4 linked regions of the Drosophila melanogaster genome follow. The protein of the gene in region 2 interacts with the protein of the main gene of each other region in a pairwise test. Each region holds a gene or a part of one and is shown on either strand. Other genes may lie near its edges.

The links.
Region 1: the proteins of Hil (region 2) and mRpS17 interact in a two-hybrid assay, tested with the Drosophila melanogaster proteins (one large-scale study listed by BioGRID).
Region 3: the proteins of Hil (region 2) and Rexo5 interact in a two-hybrid assay, tested with the Drosophila melanogaster proteins (one large-scale study listed by BioGRID).
Region 4: the proteins of Hil (region 2) and RhoGDI interact in a two-hybrid assay, tested with the Drosophila melanogaster proteins (one large-scale study listed by BioGRID).

What each region holds. Positions count from the first base shown.
Region 1 is NT_033778.4:24,172,238-24,177,998, reverse strand, and holds mRpS17 (mitochondrial ribosomal protein S17), read left to right. Parts: upstream 1-3,557; 5' UTR 3,558-3,631; coding exon 3,632-3,739; intron 3,740-3,803; coding exon 3,804-4,163; 3' UTR 4,164-4,334; downstream 4,335-5,761. Other genes in the region: Nop60B (nucleolar protein at 60B), read right to left, coding at 894-1,106, 1,168-1,572, 1,808-2,082, 2,275-2,526, 2,603-2,971, 3,032-3,044; CG3328 (uncharacterized protein), read right to left, coding at 4,603-4,683, 4,744-4,963, 5,161-5,672, 5,728-5,761.
Region 2 is NT_033778.4:20,613,745-20,621,111, forward strand, and holds the start of Hil (hillarin), read right to left. Parts: upstream 4,474-7,367; 5' UTR 4,323-4,473; intron 1,190-4,322; 5' UTR 951-1,189; coding exon 762-950; intron 1-761. Other genes in the region: CG9945 (uncharacterized protein), read left to right, coding at 4,965-5,144, 5,212-5,476, 5,537-5,683, 5,736-6,275, 6,336-6,491, 6,694-6,800, 6,864-7,004; CG11180 (uncharacterized protein), read right to left, coding at 7,323-7,367. UniProt on the Drosophila melanogaster protein: May act as a modulator of septin function during cytokinesis in the developing nervous system.
Region 3 is NT_037436.4:6,600,190-6,610,102, forward strand, and holds Rexo5 (RNA exonuclease 5), read left to right. Parts: upstream 1-3,494; 5' UTR 3,495-3,704; intron 3,705-3,773; 5' UTR 3,774-3,995; intron 3,996-4,176; exon of another isoform or gene 4,177-4,488; coding exon of another isoform or gene 4,489-5,013; intron 5,014-5,085; coding exon of another isoform or gene 5,086-5,387; intron 5,388-5,443; coding exon of another isoform or gene 5,444-5,720; exon of another isoform or gene 5,721-5,843; intron 5,844-5,989; exon of another isoform or gene 5,990-6,105; 5' UTR 6,106-6,127; coding exon 6,128-6,889; intron 6,890-6,945; coding exon 6,946-8,229; 3' UTR 8,230-8,550; downstream 8,551-9,913. Other genes in the region: ndl (nudel), read right to left, coding at 1-395, 457-2,268, 2,325-2,468, 2,891-2,909; zpg (zero population growth), read right to left, coding at 4,489-5,013, 5,086-5,387, 5,444-5,720; axed (axundead), read left to right, coding at 9,281-9,319.
Region 4 is NT_037436.4:19,927,145-19,935,934, reverse strand, and holds RhoGDI (RhoGDI), read right to left. Parts: upstream 7,193-8,790; 5' UTR 7,027-7,192; intron 5,121-7,026; 5' UTR 5,105-5,120; coding exon 4,921-5,104; intron 4,848-4,920; coding exon 4,738-4,847; intron 4,673-4,737; coding exon 4,558-4,672; intron 4,245-4,557; exon of another isoform or gene 4,198-4,244; coding exon of another isoform or gene 4,093-4,197; exon of another isoform or gene 4,023-4,092; intron 3,954-4,022; coding exon 3,757-3,953; 3' UTR 3,005-3,756; downstream 1-3,004. Other genes in the region: CG46462 (uncharacterized protein), read right to left, coding at 4,093-4,197; CG8004 (uncharacterized protein), read left to right, coding at 7,498-7,581, 7,655-8,380.

The sequences.
Region 1 (5,761 bases), 3.6 Mb from region 2:
AAGATAGATTAAAGAAATTTCATTCATGATTGAATTTAAACTTATATTTTCCTTAATCATTTATACAAATTTTCCATACACTACGTATATTTTTATCTTTGCATTATAAAATCAACTATTGTTGTTCAAACAAAAACACAAACAAAATAAAAATAAAAATAAAATAATTTGCATTTAATAATCAAAATAACTTCACTAGGTTACGTTATTTTTCAAAAGGAGGGAGATGTAGTATGTGCCTATGCAATATTAAGAACAATTAAATAAAATAGCATATTAACTTATGGCAGCACTTTGTTGCTATGTTTATGTTTATGTTTATGCACGCAGTTAGGCCAGGGCGGATGTAACATGATCACCCACTCGAAGGCAAAAAGTATAAGTGCATGGTCAGCATTCACACGCCGACCAAATACATATTACATACGTACATACATATCTCGCTCTCCCGATAAGCCTAGATATATAAGATATACATAAGAACGCCGCTCCGCTGCTGGCGTACCCGGCAGCGCAGCTACGCGGATTAGCCTAAGTCCAAATATATAAAAAACTGTAAAATCAGAGAGACTCAGTAGACGTTGAGCTGACAGAACCATTTCTGCCTACTCTAAAATCAAAAGAAGAAATTGAATAAATATATGTCAGCCCGACGGCTGCCTTCAACTTAAAACGGACTTGTGTTCTTAATTGGAGTTCATCATTACAATAGAGTTCCACAATAAAATGTTCAATTTATTGCATTGCGAATGTCACTTAAATGCATTTGTAATTTGTATGCACTTCTACACATAAAAACACTCCTTAAACCTAACAGCTAGCAATCGGTAGGTGCCTCTACAAAAAAGCGTAGAATTCTCTTTAAAACCTAATCCTATAGAAACTTCTGATTCCTATTCCTGAGCTTCGTCTCTGTCCCTATCCTTGTCCTTCTTCTTCTTCTTTTTCTTCTCCTTTTCTACTGGCTCTGCCTCCTCCTCAGCGGCTTCTGGGGCTTCCTCGTCGCCCTTGTGCTTCTTTTTCTTCTTCTTTTTGTCCTTGGAAGGAGTCTCCTCGGATACCGCCGCCGCAGCAGTTTCCTCAACGCTGGAGGTGCTTAACTTGCGCTAAAGGAACACAATTATTTAGCAAGTGAATACCATGTTAAACTCATTTTCAATAACATACTTTGCTGGGTTCACTGGAGCCATTTGTGGGGGAGACTTCTTGAGCTGCTGGCTTCTTGGCATTGTAGTCGACATAACCGGTCAGCCACTCCTTAGGTGTGTTTTCATTGGGCCTTCCGAACTTGTCTAGCTTGCCGGCGGCAATGAGCGCCTTCTTGGCCGACGCCTTTGGTCCCAATCCCCACTTGCGCGGGTATGTGTCTCGCTCCATGATCACTCGCTTGATCTTGGCCACCACACCATGGTCACAAGAGGCCATAGTGGCTGTGGTCATGAGGGCGATGGCCAGGCAAATGGCCTCACCCTTGGTGGTGCAAATGACGATCTCCTGATCGATTTCAATGCCATCCTCGTAGCGCAGGACACCGGGCAATGTAATCTTGGCACCATAGCAAACGGCGTTGACCTGGAGAAAGATTGATGGTTGTTAGTTGATATCATAAGGGGGTCCTTTGCTAGAGGAAATGTCGACCGAATATTCTTTGTCGAGCGCGCAGGATAAGAGCGCTGCCCAACATACACACATCAGCAGCTTTGCTGTTCCCAATCATAGTCACAGGTGCCCGTGGGGATTGCAGGCACCTGCCGGCTTAATATCATGGGGTACTACTTCGCAAACGGCAACTGGATGTCAAACTTACCGAACTGTCCTTCATAATAATGCGCTTGTGGTTGACCAGCAGACCTTCTAGCGGCTTGATCACACGTCGCAGCATAGACTCGTCCTTGTGGTTTTCGTACAGCCACATGGCGTCCAAAACATCGTGCATGGTCACCATACCATCGCGCTCAGACTGAATGCCCGAGCGGACACGGCGGAGCTCCAGCATCTGGCCACCGACACCCAGTACGAGACCAAGATGGACGCACATGGTACGGATGTAGGAGCCGGCCTCGCAACTAACCCAAAAAACACCTGAGCACGTGAGTGGGCAGAATTGGAGGAGAGAAAAAGACGAGGTTTTAACAATTACATTGTGCATTTGCTGTGTTAGGCAAATACTGGTGTTTCACTGGCTGAAGCAGGCTGCACCTCTGCAGGATAAACTAATCCAGCAGCGACGCACCAACTCTGAGCGAGAATGGATAAACAAAACTTCTGACTTACCCATATTTCGGGTTTCATCGTAGTCCAACAGCTTGCTGTCGTAGACAGTACGAACGCGCAACTGACGCTTTACGGCGGAGATGAGTGGAGGTCTCTGGAAGAGGGCACCACGCAGCTTCTCCAGGCCCTGACGCACCTTGGCCACCGACTCCACGGCTCCGTGCAGCTTGAAGATGGCCACGTACTCCTTGCCGGCGCTCTGCTGGGACTTCACCAGACGGGTGGCCCTGTCAATACAAACAATCAGGCAACCTGTAGGAAAAAAAAACACGCGGCACACAATGAGGTTAGGTTTGTATGGCGGTAGGCGAGCACGCGCTTCACTTACCCGTGACTTTGGGATCCAGCGTGCCGGAGTGGCCTGTCTTCTCCACCTTGAGGATTTTCTTGATCCAGGCCACCACCTCGTGGGAGCTGGGGTTCGACGGCTTGTCCAGGTTGATGAAGCCAGTCTTCATGTACTCTTTGATGTCGCGGTTCAGGGGCGACGATCCGTGCGCCAGCGGAGTGTAGTGGTTGGAACGGATGTTCAACTTGTCGAAGTTCTTCAGGAGCAGCGGCCATTGCGAGGTGTCCAGCTCGGCGATCTTGGAGGAGGGCTTGATTTGGAAGTTGCCCTGCTTCTGCAGCGTGCCAATGTCATCGCCGTCCAAGGGCTCCTCCTTGATCTTCTTCTTTTTCTTCTCCTTGCGTACTTCTGCGGGCGCATAGTCCGTTTATTTGGGCACTCTTTTAATTCATCACTTGCCAGACTTACCCACGTCGGCCATTTTATCTACGTTTTCTGCTAAATCAACTAATAGACGGAGAGAAACCTCCGCACGTGTTGCGCGCTGCGAGAAAATGGACGAAAAACACGTGGAGTGCGCGGTCTATCGATAAGTGTGACTACACAGAAATGTATTTCATGAAGACATCGATACATAAATGGAAATCTTGCGATATGTCATCGTGAGCCGAATTCCTTATTACAATTTTGAATTAAAAATATGTATTATTCATAAACAAAATGAATTTAAAGGTATTTACTTTGACGTAAACATTTTTAATCCATTAAAGCATTATTTAATTGAAAAGATATGTTATGTAAAACTGATACACTGTTTATAGTACGGTGAAAATGTTATGTCCTTAGAATCCACTTGTTTTTGCGATGAAAAGTCATACTACCCTACTTTTTAACTGACGCGTGCAAGCTGATTGCATTTGGCGGGATTTTGAAAATCAGAAACTGCTGAGTAAAAAATATCGAAATATTGATAGTTCCAGGCCCAATCGATACTATCGCCAGTGATCTACCAGCTGTGTTTCCCAACCGGTTGTTTATTTTTCTAAACTCTTAAATTAAATTAAAGTAATGTCGAGGCGAGGACTCCTACTAATGGGCCAGTGCATGCCCTGCATCAAGCAGAACGCCTCCAAGATCCGCATTCGCCGAATGGAGCTGGACAAGAACCTGAATATGGTGTGCATAATATACATTAGATCTCGCCTCAGGAGATTTCACACAATTTCCCTTCTGCTCGCAGTACTTTAAGAAGGACGAGTTCTACTTCGCCCACGATCCGCAGAAGGTGTGCAAGACCGGGGACGTGGTCCTGATACGGGAACTGCCAGAGCGCCTCACCCGCCTCATCACGCACAACGTGGAAAAAGTGGTCTATCCGCTGGGTGACATAACGGACCCGCTCACTGGCAAGAAGGTGGTCGTGGGCAATTACCGCGAGGACATCGAGATGGCCAACCAGCTGTTCGGCAAGTCAGAGAAGGCCTTCGACTACGAGAAGGCACCGCCCCGCGGTCGCCTGGAGGGAACCAAGGACTTCACCCACGGGGAAACATACATCAAGTACCACGAGGATGGCAAGGATCAGCCGTTCGCCGTTTAGAGCTCTGCCGGTCGTTTATCTGTTAAGTTTCCCCTTTGTTTAATAGTAAAGTGCATTAATATGACGTACATATGTTTCTCGGTTTTCTTATAAAATGGTTAGGCCGACGAAAGAAGATATTTTTATAGGTTTTTGATTGCTTGAATTGAATTAAAAAGGCAGGTTTAAAAGATTTCTCTACATATTTTATTTTAATGGTCGATAGTTGTTTTTTTTTTTTTGCATTTATTGATGATTTGTTGTGTATACGTATAAATGTATGCATTTTCAACTTCCTCTCGCTGATCAACAGTTTTTGATTATTTAATTTTTGAATTTTCCTAATTCAAACGATTTTTCCGCGCCAGGTGCCAGGACACATCCGCAACACCGAAACGTGCTGCACACGCACATGGTTTTAGAGTTCAGATTCGGTCCGTGCCATAAATTAAGCTGAATACTAATCACAATCTCTTACGATCCTAAAGTTGTACTGGAGTATGGGGTTTGCCGGGTGAGCGTTGTCGTCGCACAGTTTTTGCTGCAACGAAAAGGAGGCTAGAGTCGCTGGATTTCGCGTTAATGCGTCCGGATAACGCACCTGCTCCAGGTCGTGGCTGGCGCGGAGCATAAACTCCCGTAGGAAGTAGCCGCGGGCGGGAAGATCCAGGGCCAGGCTCAGTTTGTTCTTGCCCTGCTGCTTGAGGATCTTCACCCCGCTGGTGGACTCGGCCTCGTCATCCTCGTTCAGCTGGCCGTTGGCACTCGGCTTGGCCTGATCCTCGTCGACGCAGATGGACCACTGCAGCGGCTTGTTGGAGCTGTTGGATATAGATGGTAATAAAATAAGTGATTGTAAAGAATTCATTAGGAGTCAATGGAACTTTGAATGGGTTCAAGGGCAGTATGATTTTGTATGTAAACACATACTGCATTTGTATCTTTAAGATACTTTAAGATCTTACCGAATTCGAATACATTTGTTACAGAATAATGAAATAAAGTGTACCCAACTAACCTCAGATGGAGCTCCAGACTACTGGCCTGCAGATAGCGCGATACCGGAACCACATAGCTGACATTGAGGGAACTGCCCGAGGTGGGACAGAACTGCTCCACGTCAATGGTGTGGTTGTACTGGGCCGCTAGGACGCAACTGGCCACACTCCAGCAATCCAGCTGGAAGGGCGGCAGCACGGACTCGTCGGCCTTCGGCCCCTGATCCTGCCCAGAGGCGGATTGCAGAAGGCGGTAGACGGGATCGTCCTTGGCTGCGACCACCGGTTCGGTCTGCTTCTTGGTCAGGGCGTCGGTGCCGTGTGAGCTCTTGCCCAGGAATCCCGGCTGGGCCTCCAGCGCGGCGGAGGTCTCATTGCCTATTGAGACAGCGGGTTGGGTCTCAACGATGTCCGGATCATGTTCCTGCTCCTCCGCCGACTGCAGATCGTCCTCCACGTGCTGCTCCTTCACATTGGCATCCACATTGTCTGGCTGAGGATGAGTCGGCGGCAGTTCCTCGAAGCAAACGGACTGGACAGGATGTAGAATAAGTACCTGGATGCGCATCACTCTAGCTGAAGCTTACCTGACAATTGTCGCTAACCGACTCATCCCCATTG
Region 2 (7,367 bases):
TTTCAACTAAAACACTTTTGGAATGCATATATCTAGCGTCCAAATCGAAACACACCATTAGCCTTATTGGGTTTCGCTTTGAGTGCGTGAGCAGACCCCAAAAGTCAGTCGCTTGCAAATGCAATTTTAACCACTTCACCTACACACAGCAGGTGGCAATAGAATATGCAATAACGAACACGGACCTTTGCAGTGCAAATACAGTGCGTTTTGTGGCTTTAAGGCAGGTCAAGGAACTAAATACATATATTATATACAAATTTAATACAAATTTTTAACTTGCTAGATGGAAAATACATACATTCAACCATATAAAACATAATATTGTCACCATAATACTTCATAGATTTTTCCATTTAATTGATCTTCTTTCCTTAAATAAATTTCATTTAAATAATTTATAATACTTATGAAAGCTATATGATTCCCCCGACTTACTGGCTGACCGCATAGCTGCGAAACGCACTGTACATGAATATATGTACACACTACATAAGTGAGTCTATAGGTATATATTTCATATGTATGACAGACCGCAGTGACACACATTTGCGCCTCGGCAAGGTGCAATAACAAAGTTATTTATTATTATGCATAGGCAGAAAAACACAAAAAGTGTCGTTCGAATTGCATTTTTGCATCTTGCAGCTGTGCAAATATTTAGACTGACGCGTTTGTCGCTTAAGTCTTTCGTTTTTGTCGGTCCGTCCCCGTCTGTCTCGTGTGCCGCTGCTTGCGGCGATGCTTGTGGTGGCACTTACCTCTTTGTCATCCTGCTTGTGCTGATTATTGAAATACGTCTTGAGCGTCAGCTTTGTGCCGCAGTGTACGCATTTGAAGCAACCGGAATGGAAGAATGTGAAATCCTTTAGTGGCCCCACACGATCCACCTGATAGACTGTCTCGCTGCAGCGCAGGCAAGTCGACTCGTAGAAATTTGGCCGATACATAATGTTTGGCGTCTATGTATTCCTCCTGGATCTTTTCTTTTTCTGTGGCAGCTTCCGACTGGTTTTCGGTGGACCTGTACCTGTTGAGTTTGTCACTTTTCTTTTCGTCTTTCAATTTCACTTGGCGCGGAATTTACGAGTATATTCTGCTAGTTTTTCGAGTTTGCAGTTGCTGGTTCTGGGGGCGACATCATCCGCTCATCCGCTCATCCTCGTCATCCGTCCGCAGCTGGCAGAAGCTGTCCGAAACGAAAATGACCGAAAACGATGATTACTGCCTGAGTGGGAGATAGAAATTTCCTATTTGGGCTGCGATAAGATTTTTCGACCATCACCATATACCATATCAGGGTTCAAAAAACAAAAATTTTGATTCTGCGCAGGCGTTTGTCATGATGCGAGCCAAAACTTTCATTTATTTTGGCTATGGGCAGATTATTAATGAATCTTAATTAACTGGACACGGTGGACAAGAGTTTTGGCGTTTCTCAGCGGCAAAGGGTTAAATCCGTTTCGCCTTGCCATTGACCTCGCTTGGGAAGTCGAGCTTGAGATTGCTCCAAACGTGCCACAATTGAACTTGAGTTGCTGCATTCGTCGTACAACTGGCTCGTGCAACTTGCAACTGCCGCCTGGCAGCGGCACAAAAGTTGCATTTTCCATTTGATTAATTGACGCGATTGTTACTGGCAGGTTTCCTTTCGGTTTTTGTCTAGCTACAACAATTAAATTGAAGTGGAAAAGCAGACTGTGTGAAGGTAAGTGTGTGCGAGCAAGTGCATGTTACTTTAATTGAAATCATTGTTGTTGCGGCGTCTGTTGCTCTGACCAAAATTAAAACAAATGCGGCTCAGTTGCGCAGACAAAGCCAAAAGCCGCAGTCGAACTCAAAGTCATCGTTTTGCTTTCTTTTCAAGTTTAATGAACGTTGAGTCCGGGCGATGAATGGTGGGTGGTTGGGGATCGGTTGGGGAATGGGTGGTGGCAAGGCCTTATGATTAGCGCCAGTTGCGGCATCGAAGGTTGCTGATCTGTGGATTGCATGCCACATTGCAGCTGCAGCACTAATGGAAAATGGTAAGAAATTGAAATGGAAAAGGGGAAAACGCCAATGCAAATGCGGCGAAGGCCGCCAAGACATTTTGTAACACCAAATTATTTTGATTGGCTGTGAATAAAAATTTATTCCGCTTTTGAGGTCTGCCTTTTGATCGACCACATCGAATGTGAGGCAACAAATTGATGTGTGAATCAAGACGAGCGGGAGATTTGTGCCCTTAAAGACCATAAGCTCCATCGATGACTAACCTGTCCACAATCTCGTCTAGCTCTTTGGCCATAGCCCCCGCATCGATTCGAATATCAATCAACAACGCCCACATCGAGAGCGACAAAAATGGCAGTTTGATCTGTTGATGCGATCATAATCGGTGTGATTGAATGGTCCAATTACGCTTAGCGGCTGACATAATTAGCGTGTAATTATAATTGTAATGGACATGAATACGTGGATAGCCGCGAAGACCCTGCAAATTGGATGGGGCGGCTTTGACAAAACGCCTCGTGCGACTTACATCACCTATCACAATATCGTTCCATCATCCCATCATGCCACCATGGCCACTTGGGTGTGACTAAGAAGCTATGGACTGCAGGTAACCCGAGATGCCGCATATAATTTCGCACACATGCCTGTGCTCCGTGCCAGCTTTGGGTTTCTTTTCCACCTCAATGCGGATGAAATGCCATGCGAATGGAATATAAACATACAAAATAAAATGACAAACGCGAGAAGCAGTCACAAAAACGAAAGTTGCTCTGCGCGGGCAATTGTTTGCAATCGAGACATTTAAATAAATTGATAAGCACTCGGAAGCATTTGCATCGGGCGAACAAGTTCGTTGCCTAAGTCTTTCGTTTCGATGTGGTATCTCTGCTGTTGTTTTTGTCGTTTCCCTTATCGCTGGCATTGCTTAACGAAACGCTAACAATGACAATTAAATAAATACCAATAATAACAGTAAACTGCTGCAGCAGCAACACAAGTATAATGAACTTGAATTGGCATAATTGCCACCGCTAATCACATTAAAGCCAGATACAAAGATTTGATAAATGCAAAGAAACAACAGCCAAGCAGCAAACAACAAGACAAAAAGCAACTGGTTATTCCGCCTGGCAGTGAAACAATCATAGGAATTAAAATAAGATGCAAATGATTGCGTCACTGCAGAGTAGCGATATGAGGGGAGAAATATAAACTTAAAATGTGACAATGGCACTAATGTGAATAACTAACAAGTCGAACAGGGCAATGATTCCCCTTTTTAGATTATGGAAATAAAGGCAGATAATTTCAATGTGATGAACTTAAATAATTGTTAAATTAATAAACATTATAAAATTCAAACTGTTTTCCCATTTCGCTTTACTTTTAGGCGAACTATTTAAAGTATACAAAAGTACTTGTCAAAAACGTTTAACTGTTCTTGAAAAGTGTGAGAATTGGTTGGGCAAATTTGAAAAAATCAAGGTACTTGCTTTGCTGTGCCAATTTCAAAGTCGCTAATTGAATGGAACAATGAATTGCTTTTAGAAATCGCCCATTTCGCTGGCAATAAATTAGAAGCACAAACACCGAAAATAATTTATGAGCAAGCCACAATAATTGGAAGCCACATACGAAACCCGTGTAGTTAAAAGGGATGGAGGGCGGGTGCAACCAGCGCCCATGACAGGTGGTGTCGCCTCAACCACCCACCCCGTCTATTTGCGTTTGTATTGGTTTATGTGTGTGTTTATGCCGTGACGCAGGCCCAGCTTCGACTTCAAACGTCAGCCTGCAATCTTTCACTTTTTTTTCGTGTCTGCAGCCGCGGCGTCGGTTGTTCCAGTTTTTCCGTAGATTATTTCCCCAGCATCGCTATTATTTTTGTTATTTTCGCCTAGATTATACACACGCGATACATGGAGTGCTTATTCTAGGCCCTTTTTGACACACTTCTTTGCCGTTTATGTGTATTTCTATTACTTTTACGCATATATGCTAAACAACTTTCTTCTTCTGGTTGCAAAGGGGCGCGCTTTGTGCAAAAGTATTTATCATAAATTTTACACACACGCAGGCGCACACCGACACACAAACACACACACACAGAGCGATAGCCCCAGCGAGATCCAAGCACACATATTGCATACACACACACAGGCATAGAAAAAGGGGAGAGCAGATTGTTCAGTTCGCAAGGTCCATGAATCCGGAATTCCAATTCTGCGCTTTATCACATTTTCGGCATTATTTGTTGTGCCTCCAAAAGTCTCTTCTCCGAACAGCAGGTTTCGAATATTGGGAATGTAACAAAATTTCATTACCAAACACAACCACTCATACACAATCAGCACAGCACGACGACACACACGGACGCGTTCACTCACACTAGCACAGGTTTCGAGCCGCTTTTCTTTTCGATCCGTTTCTTTTCCGTTCGGCTCGAGCGCGATCACGATCGATTTGAGACTAGTTGCTTTGCTATTCGCGGAATGGAATCCGCTCTGAGTCGAGCTTTGTTGGGGGTAAAGCTTTTACATAGCTCCAAAAAGCTCGCTTCGCAAAGGCAACTGCGCGTGCCCACCACTACTATCGATAGCCGTCCACGGATCAGCCTAGGAGTTCCAGTAATCGTTAAAAATATTTTACTCTGGTCCCCGTTGGAAAATCTATAATTTCATTTGTTTTTTTTTATAAAGCCCTCGGCTACACTTCCTTGCTATAACTATCATTTCAGCTTAGCATTTTTAATAGTTTTAATTTATATAAATATTTATATAGAAAGGTTTTACAATTTTTTGTTCGTAATCTGCTGCGATAGATCGATAGGTGTTCAACGTTTGAACTTGAACATCGTGGTATTTTCAGGCTCTTCACCTGCGGTCTCACTGGCTGCAACAATTATCGAAGAAACGATAGGTTGAAATTAATAACAAAAGAGTGCAAAAGGGAAAACGCAAAAAGTTATGGGGAACCAATTGGCTATACAGATGAATAGCGATGAAGACGACGATTTTGATTCTTCGGACAACGAGCTGGGCTTCAACGTGATCAACTTTACGGTGAACGCCATGGATCTGCGCTCCGATTATTGCAGCAGCGAGATGCCAGTTATACGAGGCAAGCCCGATCTAGTTAAATTTCAGGTAATGACGAAATACCCCGTCCCCAGATAACAATTAATAGTAATTTATTGCCCACGCAATCTTCCAGAAAACTGATATGTACAAGGAGATCCAGGCGTCGAGTGGATTAGTGAGCAATCCGAACAATCGCTGGAACCTGGTGCACGCCCTTCAGCAGCGTGAGAATGGGTTGGCATCGCCGCACAGCGCATCGTTCTCCAAGAACCAGCAGCGCTACATATCCAATCTTTACATACCAAACAAAAAGGCCACACGCCTGATGTCGCTGGAATCCAAAATATTTGTGACCAAGTTCAATCGTTCGGGCAGCAAGTTGCTGACCGCTTGTCAAGGTCAGCATTCATGATTAACGCTTCCGATTGGCATTAAAACACGATTTTGACCCCTTCCAGATGGCTTTGTGCGCATTTACGATGGCGCCAAGGGCACTTATCACCTGCTGAATCGCATCCGAGCCCGCGATGTTGAGTGGAGCATCATCGATGCGGATTTTAGTCCGAATGGCGAGCACTTCGCCTACAGCACCTGGTCCCGCTCATGTAGGTACTCCGCCCAATCTGTTTATCCACACTAAGTTGTTTTCCCCTTCAGTGTTCATCATGCCCGTGAATGGGGGGGAAGACGACTGCCAGTGGATCGATGTCAATGGACTGCCAAGCCATAGGTTGGCCATCTTCTCGCTGCGCTATTCGCCAACAGGCGACAAAATCATCGGGGGCAGCAACAATTCCACGGTCATCGTGACCGACATTCGCACAAGAAACACACAGATCCTGCGCACCCACCGCATGCCCGGCAAGGATGTTAACTCGGTGTGCTTCCTACACGATAAGGATCCAAATGTGATAATCGCCGGCTGTGACGACGGCCTGCTAAAGGTCTACGACCTGCGCACCACCTTCCGTTCACGGGACCTGTCCAAGTCTGTGGCATCCTTCATCGGCCACTACGATGGCATCACCTACATCGATTCGCGCAACGACGGCTACCACGTGCTGTCCAACTCCAAAGACCAAAGCATCAAAATCTGGGACATAAGGCAGCCGAGCAATATGCGTAATCGCAGTCGTTCTAGACAGCAAGTCGACCCCACCACATGGGACTACCGATGGAACCGCGTTCCGCGGGAATGTAAGCTCGTGCCCGTTTTATTCTTGGAAAATTTTTAACGCCCACCTATCTTGTCGGCAGTTTACAATCCGCATAAGCCACTGGAAGGAGACTCCAGCATAATGACCTACCGCGGTCACCGAGTTACCAAAACCCTGTTGCGGGCGAAGTTCTCACCCATGGAGCAGACAGGGCAACGCTACATTTACACAGGCTGTGCCACCGGACGTATTATAAGTGAGTTCACACCTTTATCTTGCAGTATTTCTCTGATTTTCTTTCACAAGGCTATCTAAAATACATTTTCTAGCCAGTAAGTTCGCCAAGTATTTTTAGAAATTCTCTATCCATCAAAAATTTGGTTGTGAAACCAAAGGCCATTTCTGTGTTTCCGTTGATAAACATATTATGTTTTCAAAATAATCCAATTTTCTTACAGTTTATGATGTACTTACTGGTAAGATTCAAGAGGCTATTGAAGGACATAGGACTGTGATAAGAGATCTGGACTGGCATCCGGATCGCTCAGAAATCGTGTCTGGCTCGGTAAGCATCGAAATATGAGTAATATTCCTCTGAATAATAATGCACACTCAACTGCCTACGCAGTGGGACACCCATGTTCACCTGAACAACTTCAGCCGCAGCAACGCCAATCGTCCGGTAAAGCGATCACATAGCTCGGATCATGACAAAAAGCCCCTGAGAAGATCACGACGTTTGGCGAATCGAAATGTTACACCGGACTAGTTGTAAGGTTTAGAGTATAAGCTAGTAAGGTCCCCTTTGATATTACATTTCGTTACATTCATTCATAGTGGCTTGCCTAAGCGACGCACGAGAATATTCACCACAGTCGGGCCGGCTGGGATAATTGGTTCTATTAAATAAGACTGAAGAATATGTCACTCACTTGAAATGTATAGTTCAGTTTAATTAGTTAGCGTGTTATACAAAACAGTACATTAAAATGTAAACCATGAAGCTTACCAACTACCTACTTAAGTTGTTTATGTACAAAAACAATCATAATAAGAATCACGTTGAAATATATTTCGTTTGCTCGATCTAAATTCCTTGAAAGGCGACTCTCTTCTTGACCGCTCGTATGCT
Region 3 (9,913 bases), on a different chromosome or scaffold from region 2:
TCCGCCGAAGAAGTTTCCGCTCGGTCCAAACTGCTGAGGCACAAAAAATATGCCTGCGCCAGGGTTCGATGATCCTCCAAAGTGCGCACCCTGCATGCCCATAAATGTGGGCGTATTCGACCACATGGGCATACGGAAATTGGCAGGCGTCATGTAGAAGCAAACGGGAATGCTGGGCATTCCGAAGTTGGGGTTAAACATAAACTGTGCTGAGGCCTTCATTGTTTCACCGGACACTGGAAATCCGCCAGGAGCTCGACTGGTAAACTGTACACTGGGTGAAGCCGTGAAGGTTTCACCCTTCTCCTTCGTCTCACCGTCTGACATGGTGGCAACTTTGTTGCGCATCCGCAGAGCCACTCGTTCGCAAAGACTAAGAATTTGGGCGTCGGCAGCTGTAAATTAAATGGTATATTACTGATTATCTTAGCAAACATGCATTAGCATTAATCTCACCATTCCAAGTGTGTCCGTTAAGTGGATTGATTTTGGGTCCCATTTTGTCTAGGGCTTTAGCATCTAGAGCGGTTCCAAAAGTATCTATGAGTTCGTTTTGATTTGGCCTTGCCTGATCCTCAAACTTCTTCAGCCACAACTGACGTTCGTAGCCATCCGTCACGGTTTCTGAGGAGGATTCATTTGCGTTTAAGACCCTGAGAATGGGTTTCTGCTCCTCGTGTTGCTCAAAGCTTTCCAGCATGTTTTCGATGCTGGTAGGGTTGTCCAGCGGATGTGAGGATCGTGGTGATTCTGGATTGCTGATCGCCTCCCTAGTAGTCAACTTTGGTTGGCTTGTGGAGCTAGTGCTTACCTCACCACTGGACTCTCCTCCATCGATGATCCAGTCAAACTTGACCGGCTTCGGCTTAGTGGGATAGGCAGTGGAATTATGAATTCTCTCGTTGATTTCGGTTGTGCTGACTGCCACAGTTGTCGCAATGGTTGTGGTGGTGACATTCTCCTGCGGCTCCACAACTTCTTCCCCGTCAATAATCCAATCGAATGGCATCTTACGCAGTCTTTCCGTGGTCCCAGTGACTTCAGTAGTAGTTTCCTGCGGCTCTACCACTTCCCTTCCGTCAATAATCCAATCAAAAGTTATTTTCGGCAGCTCTGTGGTGACAATGATGGTTTCCGAAGTGGCTCCTGTCGTCGTGGTCGCCGCAGTTGTTGTCGTAGTGTTGGTGGACTTGACTTCCGGCTCTACATTTTCCTCTCCGTCCAGTATCCAATCGAATGACAATTTTCGCTGAGCGGTGGATTTCGTAGTTTCCACTGGTCCATCGGTAGTTATATTGAATACCAATCCGTTTTCCGTGGTGGGCACGTGATCACTGTTAGTGTTTTCCGTGTCAACTATTGGCTCGGAGGATGCCGATGTGGTGGTTACATTTCTAATGATTCGCTGCCCTGGTCCCTCGGTTGTACGTAAAATCTCTTGGGGCTTGTCAAAGTGATCCAGAATCCAGCTTATTTTCTCTGTAGTGCTCTCCACAGTCGTTCTTTCGGTAGCGGTTGCATCTATTTTTGTGGTTGTAATTTCGACCAATTGTGTGGTGTTCCAAGGTGCCTTGGTTGTTTCCTTCTTGGGGGCACCATCTGTATAAACTGGACTCTCGTCATGATCGTGCCCATCGATGATCCAGCTGATCCTTGAAGGCTTAATCTTAGTCCTCGCTGGCTTTTCAGTGGCATGTACCGCAACCGTTGTGGCCTCTGCAGTTGTCACCTGAATCAGGTCGGCCGGTGAAAAAGTACCCTTCTGTTCATGGGACTCCATGCTGCTTGATTCCAATTTCGGCTGCTGCTCCCGCATAATGGCCTTCATCTTCTCCATTTTCTCGGTCACCTCCTTTGCCATTTTGTACATGCGCAGAAAGGCGGACATGCAATCCTGCGGAGTATGCTTTTTGCAACGCACAAACTCATGCTCCAACTGGCTTAGGGCTTCTCTTGCCCTTTTACTTCGCAGCTTGGTGTACAGGTGCTGCATATTGGCCTCCATCCGGACGGGATCCAACAGATCCAACCCATGCAAATCACGCCGCATGCGGTGTTTCTTGTTCAACCGGAACTTAACCAGCATTTGCCGCATATGCTTCCTTCTCCTGTTTTTGCTATCCTCCATATCCTTGTTCATATCCTCGTCGAGCAATTTGAAGTGCAAAGTTTGAGGACTCACAATCAGGGCAGACTGATCCTCCTCAAAGGGCTGGTTGAAAAGCACCTGGTGCCTGGCATTCAGCGCTGCAATCTGCTGCACTTGATCTTTAAGTAATTTATTAGTTATTATTACTCTTATTATAACTCGTTAACGAACTTACCAATTTTCTCCACCACTAGCCCGTGGTAAACCAGAGAAAATAGCAACACGATGATGACCAGAATCGAGATGGCCACGATCCGTTTGCCGAATCCAATGCTCCACCAACGTCGCGGATGCCGAAGCAGCCTGGTGGCCTCCATCTCTAAAGAATTCCGTTTAAGAAGATTAGTGTAACGAAATTTCTTAACCAAGTTCAATTATGGATTTTTTGTAAGCCAATCGCTTAAGTATTAAACTGTTTACATACTTGTATGTTTATTGTCTTGTTCGCAGTTTTTATAAAAACTCAGTCTACATACTTTTATTTTCAACATACATAATTAAACACTTTTTATTATTTATTGTGGTCAGCACTTTCTGGCCTGTTCAGCACTTTTGCAATAATTTTTATAATAATGCTGATCCAAGTTCAAAATAAAATGGAACTTTCGACCATTTTATGGAATTCACTTTCTGGCTTAAAATGTTCACAGACGTGGGTGAAAATATTAATTGTTTTTGGCCTATTTTTTTTTTTGCCAACGAGTACGGAAGTTATTTTCAAGATTTCAAAGTAACACATACCATCCATGTTGTAATTCATTATTCATAAATTGATTTATCTTCTGGATTTTTCACTTAAGCTCTGGACATTTTTAACACATAAGCTTTTACGCCACAAAATCGCTGATTATTTCTTTCAATTATATGTTAAGCACTTTGTTAAATTGGCCGGGAAACAAGGAGCCTCAGGTTACAGCGATTCACTCAAACAAAAATCCACAAAAAGCAATCGCAAAGCAATTTGATATGCACGATAATCCAGAACGGTAATAATCACTACGATGACGACTTCCGCGCGATCCGGCCGGTAAAGAGCAACTGAATCCGACGGTGGTGAATGCGCCGCTTATAAGGGCTTCCGGAAAGTGGATCAGCGGGCAAACGACCCACATCCAGCGGCCACTGCTGCACTTTTCTGCTACGTTTCGAAGTTTATGGTTTTTTGGTTAATGAAAAGCGGCCCGGCAACTGCGGAGGTCAGCTGAAATGGCCGACGAAAAGTGCAAGTTGAAGGGGATTTTGGAATGGCAGAGCAACGAACCAGCCGCCCACCACCTATGAAACCAGAACTGTAAGCTAAGCAGGCCCAGCATTAATTCTCAACCCTGTGTCAGAAGTTTCCAAATCAGTTCTTTCCCTTTTTTTTTTTACAAATTTCGTAAAGCGCATAAAAATAAAAACATTTTTCCACACATCAAAGCTTTGACCACGAACACTATTTACCGAAAAATATAAATAAAAAACAAAAAGAAACGGTAGTAAAACAGAAAACACATGCATTCTACTTAGAAAATCAAATAAAATTGTTTATCAAAATTTTACCATCAGACAGAATGTAAGTAGCAGCAGCGCATGAAACGTGCAGGAATCGAGTGTCTTAGCCAGTTTTCCCATGAACCCACAGAACTTCATTAACAAAAATTGATGCGCAAGCAAAGAAAGTATATGCCCTCAAGATCCAGCCAGTCATTAGTCATTGGAGGAACCAGAAAACAAACACAAACACAAGGACCTTCCCACGGCATGCGCATAGAGTTCCTTAACATATTAACCTTTATCTCGAGATAACAAACATGATGTGGACCAGAACGACAATCGCACTGCGCAGAATTGCCAGGTCGCAAAGGTAAGTAACAAATAAACTCATTTCATTCAAAAAGGTATTAGTTACTCATACTCATACACCACCTTGAACGACTAATTATTGTGTAGGTGATATGTAGGTAAATGATGGTGATGAAAGATTAATAACAATAGTGGCCAGTTAACAATCAATAAACTGTGCATGAAAATAGCTTATGTTCTTTACACTTTCAACTTTTATTAAAGATAAATTCAGTTTTCGATCTATATCAAGCCAATTAAGGATTCAAATGGTCAAGAATATTTATGATGATTAAGAAATATGAGAATTTACTGAACAAGTGAAAATGGCACATTATTCTTAGCACAAAAATTATAATAGTTCGTTATATCTTCGATAATATGCACATATCGATGTGAAAAAATTAATGTATGTTATTCTTGTTTGTGTCATCTTAGTCTTCTACTCTAGATGATTCAAATGATAATACCTATTTCAGTATATTGAGATTAAACTTGGCGTCATCGCTGAGATCTTAGATCTTGTCCGCTCCTGGCGGTATTTTGATCAAGGACTGAGCTTCGTACAGCTCCTCCAGCAACTTACGGAATAGCTCGGGGCTGATGTTGTTGCCCACGCGCATCAGCACGAACCAGTCGCCAAAACTGCAATTGCGCAATGCCACCTGCAAGTGCTTCTTGGGCATGAAACGTGCCCTGGCACGAAGCAACTGAAGACGCATTCCGGGATACAAAACGGTGGCCAGGCGGTACAGAAACTTGAGGGAAATGAGCATAGCCACTAGTATAAACCATATCCACAGGAAGGCGAAGATTTTCTCGTTCAGTATATTCAGGGGCAGCAGGCAAAGGTAGTCGTATATGTTGGAAGAACCGCTGGGGCCGCCCTTGTACATCTCGCACTTGGCACACTTGGGGAAGACTGCCATGGTTATAATGTTCCACTGGTTATAGTCGCCATTGTAAAGGGACAGCAAGGCATTACGGTAGCGGCCCCAAAAACCTCCGAAAAATACGTCCAACAGAAGGAAGTTTAGAATCTGCGGGGTTGCAAATAATTACAATTTTTAGTAATATCGTAGATTATTGAATTACTAGTTTTGGTCACTCACACTGATGCTCAAATTGAGTATTTCGCAGAAGACGTAGCTAACGAAGTAGCGGAAGTGGGTCTCTTTGTAATCGCTGGAGAAGTAGTTGACTAGTACGCGCAAATGGGTCCTGCTCTTGTCCTTGCAAACGGCCATCTTGTGGAAATCATCGCACAAATGCTTCAGCCGACCGCCCTCCCAAATCTTCCAGAGAAATGCTGGCATATAAAACACAAACGACTCGAGCAGCAATACCAGCACGACCCACTGATAGTAGGTTATGTAGTTACGATTTTCCGGGGGCACTACCTTACTAACCGCATCTGAAATGAAGAATCCGTGCTGAACATGGGAATCTTTGAAGCATTTCCAAACTCACCTGGTCGGCACTGTGCAGCTCCATTCCTTAGGGGCGTCACAGTCACATTGTCGCTCACATAGGCCCCGTAGATCCAACAAAAGGCGTGCACGTAGTCCATATCCTTGTCCCCAAAACACTGGATGGGATCGCCGAAATATTGTTTCGAGGAAAGCAAAAATGTGCAGGCCAAAAGCAGGGCCACTGTGACTTTGGAGTGCAGCGTGAAAATAGCATCGTAGATGTGCACCGACTTGAACTGCAGATACTTGGAGAGCGGTTTAACAGCTGCGTACATGATGGCGTATTTATTTTATTTAATTTCGGGCGTAAAACAAAAATTTTGGGGCGGTTGTAAAGTTTGACGATTTAACTTGTACCAAAAGCACGCGGCATCATAACGGTTGATGTATACTATGGTTGTCTCTTTCTTACTCACGCCTGGGAACCTTACGTACAAACCGCAATTTCCAGCAGCCAGCTTTTGGCAGGCACTGATTTCGGCTGGAAAGAAGTCAGATTTGACGAGAAAATAGCGGGACTGCCAGCTCTGTTGGGGCTAAAAACTGTTTTTACCATCTGGTAACACTAGCACGTTGCACATGTTAAATCTTCGTGTTGACAAATTGAAATCTACTGAAAATCGAGTTAATTTAATAAAAGTTGCGTATTTTCGCCTGCAGCTTGAACGGTAAGCGCTCCAGGATGAAGGAACATATGTCCACCAAGCAGCACGAGCGCAACGAGAAGAAGAAAAAGAAGCTGGCGGCCCTGGCGAACCTGATGGAGCTCAACGATCGCGATCGATTGCACGAGGCAGAGTTGGCCAAAAAACGCGATGCAGAGGTCGAAGTGGAGGAGAAGTCAACAGCGAAGGCGGAGGACGGGGACGACGGTTTCATCGTGGTGGGCAGCAAACGCAAGCCGCGAAACCGTCGTCAAAACAACGAGCTGGAGGCGGATTCACAGACTGCCCCAGGAACATCAGATCCTGAAGAGCCGGTGAACAAGAAAATCCGCAATTACGATGCTGGTGGAGATAGCCTGCCGCTGGAGATTGGCTCGCTATCCGAGGATCAGTACAATCAGTTGTCGGCAGAGTTGAGGCGTCGCAAACGGGAGCTGGAGAACGTACCGGCCTTGCGACTGCGTGAGATGGGTCAGCGCGCCTCCCTGGAGACTCCGCAAGATGCTCGTACGCCCATCTTTCTAACCGACATCCAGAACCTGTTGATGTGCGCTCTCATTGGCCAGAAGAGCCCCTGCCGTCCGGATCGCTGGTGCAGCGTGGAGAAGTGGCTCAGTCTGTCGCACAGTGTGGTGGTCATTCTGGAGGGACTATCTCTCTACCACTATCTGTCTAACGAGACCCAGTTTGAGGCCACCAACAGGATATTCAGCACGAAGCTGGAGATGATACTTCCACCGCAGGAGGAGGGCCAGAAGATTATCGACGAGATAGCCAAGGTAGGGCTTCGTTGAAACTGTCTGTTTGCCTAATAATATATCCCTTGCTCTTGCAGATTCCTCTCACCAATGCGCAGGCACGCAGACTGATAGACGAGCACGGCTCCCTGGAGTCGGCTGTGGAGCTGAACAAAGATCCAACTTTGTTTGTAAAGACAATCTTTCCAATCGAAAGCTCTAAATCTGAGTCGGATGACATGCATGAGGATGACAAGTTCCCACGCACTAAGCTCCTGCTGTCAGCGCTGCAAATGGTCGACGAGGGCTATCCTATTCCATTGCAGGGCGAGCTACACACTCGTTTCCAAAACTTTAAGTTTACCAAGGATCTGTATGCACCGGTAACCAATCGCAGTCCTATGTTCGGCGTTGATTGTGAAATGTGTCACACGGAGGCGGGTTGTAACGAGCTAACCCGAATCTCTATTGTCAACGAAAATTACGAGACCGTTTATGAAACGCTAGTGTTGCCAAATAACCGGATCACCGACTATCTAACCCAATATTCGGGCATAACCGCAGAAATTATGGAGCAAGTGACCAAGAGGCTGGATGTTGTGCAAAAGGAAGTGTCCGAACTGCTGCCTCCAGATGCCATTCTGGTGGGGCAATCTCTAAATTCTGACTTGAACGCCATGAAAATGATGCACCCGTATGTAATTGACACCAGCGTGTGCTTTAACACATCTGGGGTGCGACGACGCAAGACCAAGCTGAAGGATCTGGCCAAAACCTTTTTACAGGAAATTATCCAGGAGAACATCGATGGTCACGATTCCATTGAGGATTCGCGAGCCACGCTGAAGCTCGTCAAGAAGAAGCTGGCAAACAGCATCGAGTTCGGAGACCAGATCCTCACGCAGCACAAGCAATTACAGGAGTTGGCGAACGCATCCAGCGGTGATACCATATCCAACAATCTGTTTGCACATGTGGCAAAGCGGGATAAGCGCACGGCCATTGTCACGGTCGGCGAGCTGCAGCCCCGTCTAAAGGAAGTGATCGAAAAGGCGGGAGAGGCAGCGCCCAAGGATCAAAGTACGTCGGTGCATGTCCACGAGGTATCTACGGCCAAGGAAGCCATTCGGAAGGTCAATGAAGTTGCACTGGAAAATGCCCTGACAATTGCCAACCTCCGCGTGCCAGAGCAGGACTTTATATTGGACAGTGCACAGCGGAGTGTTGCCAAACTGGACAAGACCATTGATCGCCTGTGGAAGTCAGTTGCGCACAACGGACTCTTCCTCGTCATCATGGGCGGATCCACAGAGTGCTCGAAGGGTGTAGCCAAAATAGCCATCAAGCGACTAAACGGATCGAATCAGACTATGGAAAGTTAGGGAGCTTTTAAGAACCTTACTTATGCTAACCGCCTCCATGGATACCCGCTCCCACTAAGGTCCTGAGTGTTGAAATCCAGCAGATAAATCAAATTTACCGTATCACACTGAAGACATGACCAACAGTTGCATTACCATACACCTGGGAAATGTCCTGCATGCATGAGTGCATCGATGAAAAATTGTAAAATTAAAAACAAATTCGATCAATAACGAATAATAAAATGTACATTTAATTTTTTTCACAAAATTCCATTGGCTTCTGCATAGTTGTATTAAATTAAATGAGCGGTAAAAATTATTATGGATTATTGTATAAAGAAAAAACTATACAAAAAACTAATTATTATTGATTCCATTTTAAAATTTTCTGAAAGGGTCAACATAATACATGGTTTATTGAACCGTAAAAACTGTTCGTGTCCGCAGGCAATTAGAAATAATTCCAGTATCCGTCCGATACATTTTCCGGATGGAGCATTCCAAACTGGCTGCTTGAATTTGACCCAGTTTCGTCTGGTTTGCATTGCCCGATATATGTGGCTGGTGGTGCTCGCTGGCCAGGCGGCTGTGTTGATAAGAGCCACAAATTTCCTACCTCCCTCAATGTGGTGCTCCGTTGTCTAGGGCCCGGCCCGAAAGCCCGAACTGGGCCTCCTCCCTAGAAGCGCCCACGCACTCTCGCTCTCCCTGGCTTTTTCATTTCCCTCTCTGTCGCTTTGGAAAGGGAAAGTCCCCGCAGCGGAGTATCTGTGTCTTATCACACGCTCGAAAATGTTGCGTCTTTTTTGGCTGAGTACTCATACGACCTGTAGGTCGTGCTCAAAGTTTCTATGCGCATGTCCCGCCGCAAGAATTTTCTGAGAATTTTCCCCAATTCCGGTGGAATGTTGCCAGACGGCTGGTGTTTTGCCATCAACTGGCAGGTATTTTCAAATATTATAACATATTTAAGTTCGACTTATGCCTTTCCGGGCCGAACACAATTGAAACTGAAGATTTAAAAGCCCTGGTCAGGATCACTAACTCATATGGTGCCCATATTTTGGACATGGACCAGTATGGTGGCAACGCCAGCCCGGGAAATTTGGTATGTTTTCCTGCTGTCTCGTTTGTTTTTCATATTTTTGGCTTGGCGCTCTTCGTACAAATCTTGTTGTATATACGCTTTTTGGCTCTCGAGCGGAGACGTCGTCGTCGTTGTTGGCTGCCTTTCCCAATTCCGTTTGGCACGAGGCGCGCAAAACTCTCGGATCGGATCGCATCGGATCGAAACGGAAATATATACGCGAGTATCGGCGGGGCTATATGGCCAAAATATCTGTATATATGTATCTGATTATTGGCATAAACAAATCGGCGTAAACAGAATTTGCATTAAGTTTGAAGATTTTGACATCGAGGCGGAAGTTCATAGTTATCTCAGCTGAAAATTGGCGAATAAATTTCGAAAATCGAGAGTTGGCCCATCCGACAAATTCATAAACTGGGGTAAGTCTCTGTGTATAATTAATCAGAATGCAAAGGAATGAAATGCTGTATACAAACAGAGGCGAGCAATTGGCCAACATAAATTGTGTATCCATAAAATACACAGACACTGGCGAATGAAAGCCTGTTCAAAGGAAAGTTTTCCGACTCTCTGCGTCTCTGTGTGTGTGTGGGTGTAATTATGCGCGTGTAT
Region 4 (8,790 bases), on a different chromosome or scaffold from region 2:
CCCTTGATATATTCGACACATTGGTGGAGTCCAACAGCCAGTTTGAAATAAGGGTTAAATTGCTTGAACTTATATTACAAATTCCGGGTAAACGCCATAAACCATAATGAACACCAGCTACTTGGGCATTCAGTACTTTAAGAAAAGGCCGCCAATTTTCATTCATTTCACTCCATTGCAGGGTAGATTTATTAAGGGATTTGTTGAATGCCATGCTCAAAAATAATATATTGCTATATTTAACATTTGGAGCAACAAACTTGGATGGCCAATATCAAAAATCAATGCCAAAATGTAAATGAGCTAACCACCGCAAGCCCGTTCGAATAAATATATTCAGAAATCATGCAATTTCCTGGCCAACTTTGCAGCGAATCTCCATCAGAAAAAAAGCATCAACTAAAAAAAAAACAACAAATTCAATATATACGCAAATTATTTTCGCTGTCCGGTGGCGAAAAACGCAGAGCTTTGGAAAAAAATATATGCCAATTGTGGTGGGGGGTTTGAGTTTGGTTTTATGTCCTGTCGGCCACGCACAAATCTGATGACTAACTCCAGAGTTTTCTGACGTGTTCGACACTCCCCTTTAAACCAACTTGCCAACTTGCGTGTGCTCACTTAAAGCCACGAAAAGTATTAAAGCCATAGAAACTTTTTTATTACACTTGCCTGGCGAGGGGGAGGAGCATGTGACGTAATAAAAGTAAGAAGTAGGTTTTTTAAACAAAATTTAAATGAAATATAATTAGTGCGGTTTCAAGCTAACAAAAACACAACACTTAATTAAACCACAATTTTCAGAACACCTTATTCAACCACTAATTTGGGACTGATAACTAACAGGTTTATATAGACATAAGAAGAAAACGTAATAATAAAAACAATAGCCGCCCCCCTTGGTGCTTTCTATATATTTTCCACAGACAGCCCACTGCGAGTGTGCAATAAAATTCATCATACGCTACGTTGGCCCCTTTTGGCTGGGAACAGGATGAAAGTTTCGCACGTTGCTCCGTGTGCTGACCCGCATATGAAATTAGAGGCCAGCAGAAACCGAAAAGTTGCCAAATCTTTGTTGGATTTAATTATGCTTAAATGGGCTTAGCAAAAACTTGCCATAGAAGCAAAAAGGTATTCAATAAAGGTGCATGCCCATACATGAGATCTAAAATGAAATTAATTGAATTTCGAACAAAGGAAGTTTAATTTTGCCACATTTGACTACTATATACATATGTATATGCCATATTTTGTGGACAAATGCTGTGTTGTCCGTTTTGCCGTTTGCTGTGTGAAAATTATTAAATCTTGTTAACCAGGAGAAACAGGATAAGAATATGTAAAACAGTTAAATATATATTTTTTAAAATCATGCCAATGGGCAAATTGCATAAATGCAAACACATAAATCCCATTAGCGGCTATAAAAGCTGTGCATACATATAGCCATTTGTAGAGATTAAATATGCATTTTTACAGCGATGCCTGTGCGGCTTGACATCAGCTGCATTTCATGGCTTTTCCAGTGGAACAGATGCCAATAATCCTAGTGCTAGTGATGGGGATGAATTCGAAAAAAAATACAAAATTTATTTATTTAAAAAAATGTTAAAAAATATAAAAGGTTTTACACTTGAATAAACCAAATGAAGTTTCTTTCTAAATATCATAAGTATTATTACATAAGACATAATGAATAATGAATATAGTAATATTCAACAATTTGATTTAAGCGAGCATTCATTTCTCTCAGTGTAAAATAACAACAAGGTACCGTTAGCAGCACTGCCTACCTACACGGGGACAAAATGGCCACCATTCGCATTTCCGCTTGCGTGTGCTGTGTGAGCACTTTGCCTGTTGCGCTTTCTGGCCTGCTCTTTGATTGCATTTCATTTCTACTTTATTATCCGCATTCTGGACGGCTCCTGTTTTTTCCATTGGCTCAGCAGCTTTGCTGCAAATTTCATTGAGCCCCAGCCCGGATGCAATGGACCATAAAGGTGCAGCGGCGGGACAATTGGCAGCATTGGGCCAAAAGGCCACATTGCCACACAATGGGGAGTGCGGAATGTTGGAATGTCGGATTGAACAATGCGATTGAAGGCTGAAATTCGACGGGCCGTCTGTCAATCAAAACATCCTCGACGGACAGAGATAGACGTTCCTGTTTGATGCAAAAATATTGGTATTTCAAAGGTAATGTTAAGAGTAGTCGAGCTGAACGGCCATACCAAAAGACATATATCTGCTAAACCATTTGAGTGAATTAAAAGATATAGTATATATAATTTTTTGCTATGAGGAAATATATGAAAATGGCGAAACAAGCAAGACTTCTCTTATGTATACATGTAAGTTTTTGTTAGTTGCTTACCTGTAATTACTTCTCACGTAATGAAAACAGTGTGTACTTATTTTTCTGATTGTTTTGTTCCACATCCTGGAAAATCGCACCCTTAAAGGACCCCAAAAAACATACGAATGCCCCAGGCCATTTACCGAAAACACAAATGATTTGTTTTTCTTAAATTACACCATTTTTCTGCTGGCAACTATAGCAATTTCCGAAAAAGTAACTTGCTTATTCATGCAGGTTTTCGCGACTCTGAAGACAAATGTGCGTTGGAATATAAAATGCGGTTATTATTATTTTCTGTTCTGAAGCGGCGATTGTTGGGCAACATGCTGCTAATGTCTGGCGCAACAAGAGGCTGGCCACTTGTTGCTGGTTGCGAATGTAAACAGAGAAGTGTGTTTCACAAATTCTCTCTTTTGTACACCTTGAAAAATATTTGGTGACCGTTCACAGGGCGGATGAGTAATACTCGCTCTGCTGGCCACAATTTATGACGTTTGCCCCTTGGCAATGTAAGCTGATAAGCATTATAAAGTGTGAAGTCAACTTATCTTTGGCTACGGAGAAATCTGTGCACACACTGCCACTATAATTTATGGGATACCCATATCATGGAAAAAGAATTCGCTCACTTAGGCATTTATTTTAAAATATGTATCCTTTATTCTTTATTGCTCTTCGGTTGCATTCAATCAGCTTTCGCATATATGGTATGTTGTACACAAAAAATACACAGAGATATATAGTTAGAATAATGTGGATTTAAGTAACTCCATGTTGCACAAACTTCAAATGCATAATAAAGCATCAGCTTTAGTTGCATTTAACAGTTCGTGTTGCACGATTTTAATCGGTTTCTTTTTAGTTTTGAGGCGACTTGTTCTTACAATAAACTATTCCATTCTTCAATTTGAAATACACAGCGAAATGCAAACAACTTTCTTAAAGTTAATTACTCAATTGTTAATCTGTTTGAAAATGTATGTTAAACATAGGCAATGGCATTAAGAACCAAACGACTGACTGTCTGACTGACTGGTTGGCTGACTGACTGACTGACTGGCCTAGTGACTTGACTTGGTTTTGACTTGACTCTCATTGAGGAGGACTTAGGCGAAAAATGCTCTTCATCTGCACACATTCCAATTGCAAATAGGGTATCAAAAATACTTATCATGGCTTTACATTACACTTTAGTTACAAAAATATTTAAAATTTAATACCGTTAACAAAAATACTTGACGATCAATTACACTTTTGGAAAAATTCGCTTACACTTTTGGAACAAAACTAAACTCATTTACAAGGCATGTTTGAGGGAAAACAAAAAGCGTATGATGTATGTTGTAAGTTGTGTGTCGTGTGTGTTTGTTGTGTGCTGTTCGGTGTGCCAATTAGGCCCAGTCCTTTTTGATCTCAAAGGTCCAGTCCCACTCCAGGTGTATGTGCTTGTCGTCATCCGTGAAGACCGAACTGACCGAGTAGGTGCCGCGGGAGAATGTGCCTGAAGGTGCCTCCTCGGCGGGCGTCAAATAGAACTGAATCTCCTTCTTCGGCGGATAGGAGCCAACCATATGCTTCATCTTGTCAACTATGGAGTAATGCGAAAACAGTCAGTTTAGTAAGGATACACATTTGCGGATGGGCTGCACCAGCTTACCCACAACTTAAAAAATTATACATTCCGAAATTAGGGTTTGGCATTGGAGATAATGGAATACAAGTTATTCTCAACACATGACTAAAGTTAGTATGGCAATTGTGAAAAAAAGGATATAGGCAGCACTGCAAAATCCCACCAGTATGGTTGTGCCATTGAACCAGCTTTTACCCATTGCTAGAAACAAAACTCGACTAGCCCGCACAAAAGTCAATCAAAAACTGAGGTGTAATACTAACGATTTCGCGTCAGCACGGAAAATTGAAGACCTAGAAGTGCTCGCATAGTGTAACGTATGGAAAATAACTAAAAACAAGTATCTTTTGACCCGGTTTTAATTTAATTTTATTCTTACAATACTAGGGCACTAGGTCAGTAAATAAATAAATCAATTAATAGAAAATTAGGGTAGGACAAAAAAGAAATATAATTGCTTTGCCCTAAGTAAAGACATATAATGTTGATAGAATTGAGAGTGTAAATCTATTCTATATTCTGCCAATTAAAAATACAAATGTCATGTTTAAATACTCACCATTAACACCCAAGCGAGAAGTCTTTTGAACATACTTAAGGCCATGGACTATTTCACGCTGCACAATAAAATCAATGCGCACCTTGTACTGAACACCTTCTTTGATCACAAAAAGCTGTCGCAATAGGGTTTTGATTAACAAAAGTAGTCGAATGGATGATGATGGTTAATGATATTTACCTGCTTTTTCAGCTGACTAAGGTCACCGGTAAGATCCAATTCCATGTCGTCGCGTCCTTCGACAACGAGGGCCAGTTTCTTTACAATAACTTTTCGGGGATCATTGGGTTCTGGGTAAAAATGTTATTGCTTTAGTATATTCTGCACCCTCCACTTTCAGAGGCCAAGTTAACCGCCCCTTACCAACAATAATTTTCTCGGTCTGGGCGGCACCCAGGAGCGCCTCCTTGTAGCGCCGCAAGCTCTCATCCTCCTGATCGGCGGCCATTATTTCCTCGATGGTCTTCTCCGGCGGCGCCTGGTAGTTGGCATCGTGGACATCGTCGTCGTGGTGCTCGGGATGGTGCTTCGTCTCTGTTTCGGCCATGATTGCTAACCTAGAACTGTCCAAAGGCAATTGTTTGTTTATCAATCAATTACATTTAAATATTGCTTCGGATTTTGCTTAGTATGCGTCGGTTTCTCTGGGTGAAGCTTGTGGGTCATAGGCATATTTTTAGTAGTGTGAGTAACATTTTGACGATAATGATGTTGTTTTATACACATATGTATATGCCTCCATTTTAATGGCATGTGCGCCACCATATCTGCTACATCGTATCGGAGTGTATGAAAGTATTCCTCATTCAAAAAATGTAGGAAGAGTGTTTTTTCTTCTGAAAATTGTCGCCCTAAGGAGAGTTGAGCTCATAACTTAACAATGCAGGGAAGAAATTCGAAAAAAAAACCTGCCATCTAAATATATAGTTGAGTAGTTAGTACATTTGTTTCTACAAATTACAATGTTAAATATTGAAATTCAAATAACAACGATCGCAAACATATTCCATATACTTCGCTACTGATTACGTTATCATTCGCTGGCCATAAAGCGGGTTTATTTACTTTTTTGGCAACACGAGTGCCTCCGTTGCGAACAAATGTAGCCACTTCATAAGCCCGTTCAATAATATTGATTAAATTTCAATTATTAACGCATTGATGAACTGACGTGTTCTCTGTCTAGGGGGCGGGGCAGAGAGGGGCGCTCGACCTGCAGCTGGTCCGCTCGCAAAGTAAAAAAAAAGGTTCAACCAAATACGGAGCGGCAGTTAGATAAGGCAGGCGAACTCGACGGAGGGAGAGAGAGCGGATATCGGCATTGAATAATATTGACCAGAACTGGGAACTGGCGACAAAAAGCCAAACCCACCGCCCCCCGGAAAATGGCTTTATTGTTATCTTGCTTTGTTTTCCACTATCTAAATACACGTCGCCAGCTCTCTGTCCATTTTCAACGAATGTTGTTGGGCCAATAATAATTCTCGATTCTCCAGATTTGGCTTTATATATATGTACATACATATGCAGTGTACCCGGGCAAAAAAAATACATGAAATTGAATTGTTATTACTTGACATCGAGTTGTTGTTGAGGTAATAAAATTGTGTCTATACAAAACGATTTTGCAGGCCCATGTGTACATACAGTAGTAATAATGATGTATTTCTCAATTTTATACAAAACATATTTTGAAATTCTCAAAGCTAATAAATATTTATCTATCTATCTATCTGTTTTTTACTTGTAAATGTAAATATTATTGGTGCTTAAAAATCAATAGTTTGAATCTTAGTATCGGTTTTTAGATCTCATCGTAATATTTCCAAATTAGGCATATGAAAAGCACTCACAATTTCTCTCCGTGCTTGTGTGGGAATGGCAAAAAATAATAAACAAAAAATTTTCGGACTAACAACGCAAGTTTGGGCCAATAAATACAATCGCAACAATTAAGGATGGGTGAGAAAAGGTAATTTCAAGAACAATCTGACCGAACTGAAAATTTGAATTCCAAACAAATGTGCCAGCGTCGAAGGAAGTGCAAGCGAGAGGGCTTGCCAGAGAGAGAGAGAGAGAGAGAGAGAGAGAGGACCCCCCGCCAAAGACAAAGTGTGGGGATAATTCAGGGAAAAGTACGAACCATGCCACTTTTTTTTCTTCTCTTTTTTTGATAAAGAAATGTGCACGAAGAATGTTAAAACCCCAGACGAATGAATCACACACACCAGCTCACACACACACACACTCACACTGAGGCCGGCACATGAATCGTCACTGATTTTCAAGTAGAATTTTTGGGAGTGGTTCTTGGCCTGCAGTCACCCAACTACATACATTTGCTATCAATGCCAGCTTGTATTAAATTAATATAATAATATTATAAATATTTTTTTTATGTAAAATGCATTGGAAGGCACCGCACTCACACACACACACAGTTGCAAGTTGGCAACGACGCGCACTCACCTTTTAATATGCGAAATTAATCAAATAGTACGATCTCTGAAAATTAATCACTGAAAAGTAACTGTATGTTATATTTTTAACAACTTTTGATAACTAACTTTTAAACAAAGCAAATAATATAAAATAAGAATTACAAGTGTGAACGTATGCTTTGGTGGACAGAATACCAAAACGCGAGATGGACTTGAAGAAGTCATCCGTTCACACTGCTGTCCAAAAATACTTGCTTTTCGAAAAAGTTTTTAGTTTTGAAACAGCTTCCCCTAAATCTATTTTATACTTTGTAAGTATGGGTTTAAAAAGAAATTATTAATTAGTTTAACGAATCTTGCTGAAATGCAATTTCTAATAAGAATCGCTGTTTGGTCATTGTCTGCAACAGTCTGGCAACGCCGACAAACAGCTGCTTGTTACTTCATCGGCGATTTCGGTGTGCAAGTTGAAAAACACAATTTACTCCGTTAATTTACAATGACATCCCAGTACCTGAGCCAGCTAATAACGGCCGACAAATTGTCCGCCGAGCCCTGGCCCGAAGACGCCACCCTCTACCAGGTAAGGTCCTGGTTTATAGGTCCAGAATCTTCACTAACATTAACCTTTCATTAATGTGCATTAAAAAAAACAGCCGTATGAAGCGGAACAGATCCTACTGCCGGAAAACGCCAGTTGCCTTGCTGTGAAGGCTTACCTGAAGATGTGCAACCTCCCCTTTTTGATTCGGTCCTGTGCCAACGCGGAGCACATGTCGCCGGGCGGCAGGATGACCAAGTTGCCCTTCATCCGCGCAGGAGCATTCATCTTTGCCGAATTCGAGCCGATCGTGAACTTTGTGGAGCAGAAGGAACTGGCCATTGGCAGCTGGCAGGACGAGGACGAGAAGGCCGACATGCGCACCTATGTGTCGCTGGTGGAGAACATCTTCACCATGGCTGAGCTGTACATTAGCTTCAAGAACGAACGCGTCTACAAAGAGGTCACAGCGCCCAGGAACGGAGTCGTTTTTCCCTGGCCCCTCAATCACATGCAGAACTATGGAAAGCGGCGGAACGCGCTGCGTCTGTTGAAGGTCTATCAGTGGGACGACCTGGACATCGATAGCGTCATTGACAAGGTGGCCAAGTGCTGTGAGACGCTCGAATACAAGCTGAAAGAGTCGCCGGAAACGCCATTCTTCTACGGCGATCAGCCCTGCGAACTGGACGCCATCGCCTTCGGCCACCTCTTCAGCATTCTGACCACCACGCTGCCGAACATGGCGCTGGCCCAAACGGTGCAGAAGTTCCAGCACTTGGTCGAGTTCTGTCGCTTCGTCGATGAGAAGTACTTTCAGACGAGGTGCCTACCAAATTAGTTATACGTAGTCGTTGCCTTAAATGCTTATCAATTAAGTTGCTCTTGTCCTTTCTTTTTAACCGCTTATATATGCAATTCTAAATGCCCTTAAAACAAATCGTCGCCGTAAGTCACAATTATTTTGCTACTAGCATTTAAAAAAAAAAGTTGTTCTAGTGATTTTGCTGCCATTAATGTCCAAAAATCCATGTGAATATCATTTGCACAAGTGACTCAATCTGCAAGTTTGTTTAAATGGAATTCTAAAATACTTCTAACGATCTTTACTTCATTTATTTTGCAGCAAATAACTTTTCTGCTAATAAAATTGTGTAAGTATTTGCTATAATACATCAAATAAATTGTTTTCTTAGCAAACCAAAAAAAAAAATAGTCTTGATTTTTGAACATTGCTGCCTTTTCCTTTTC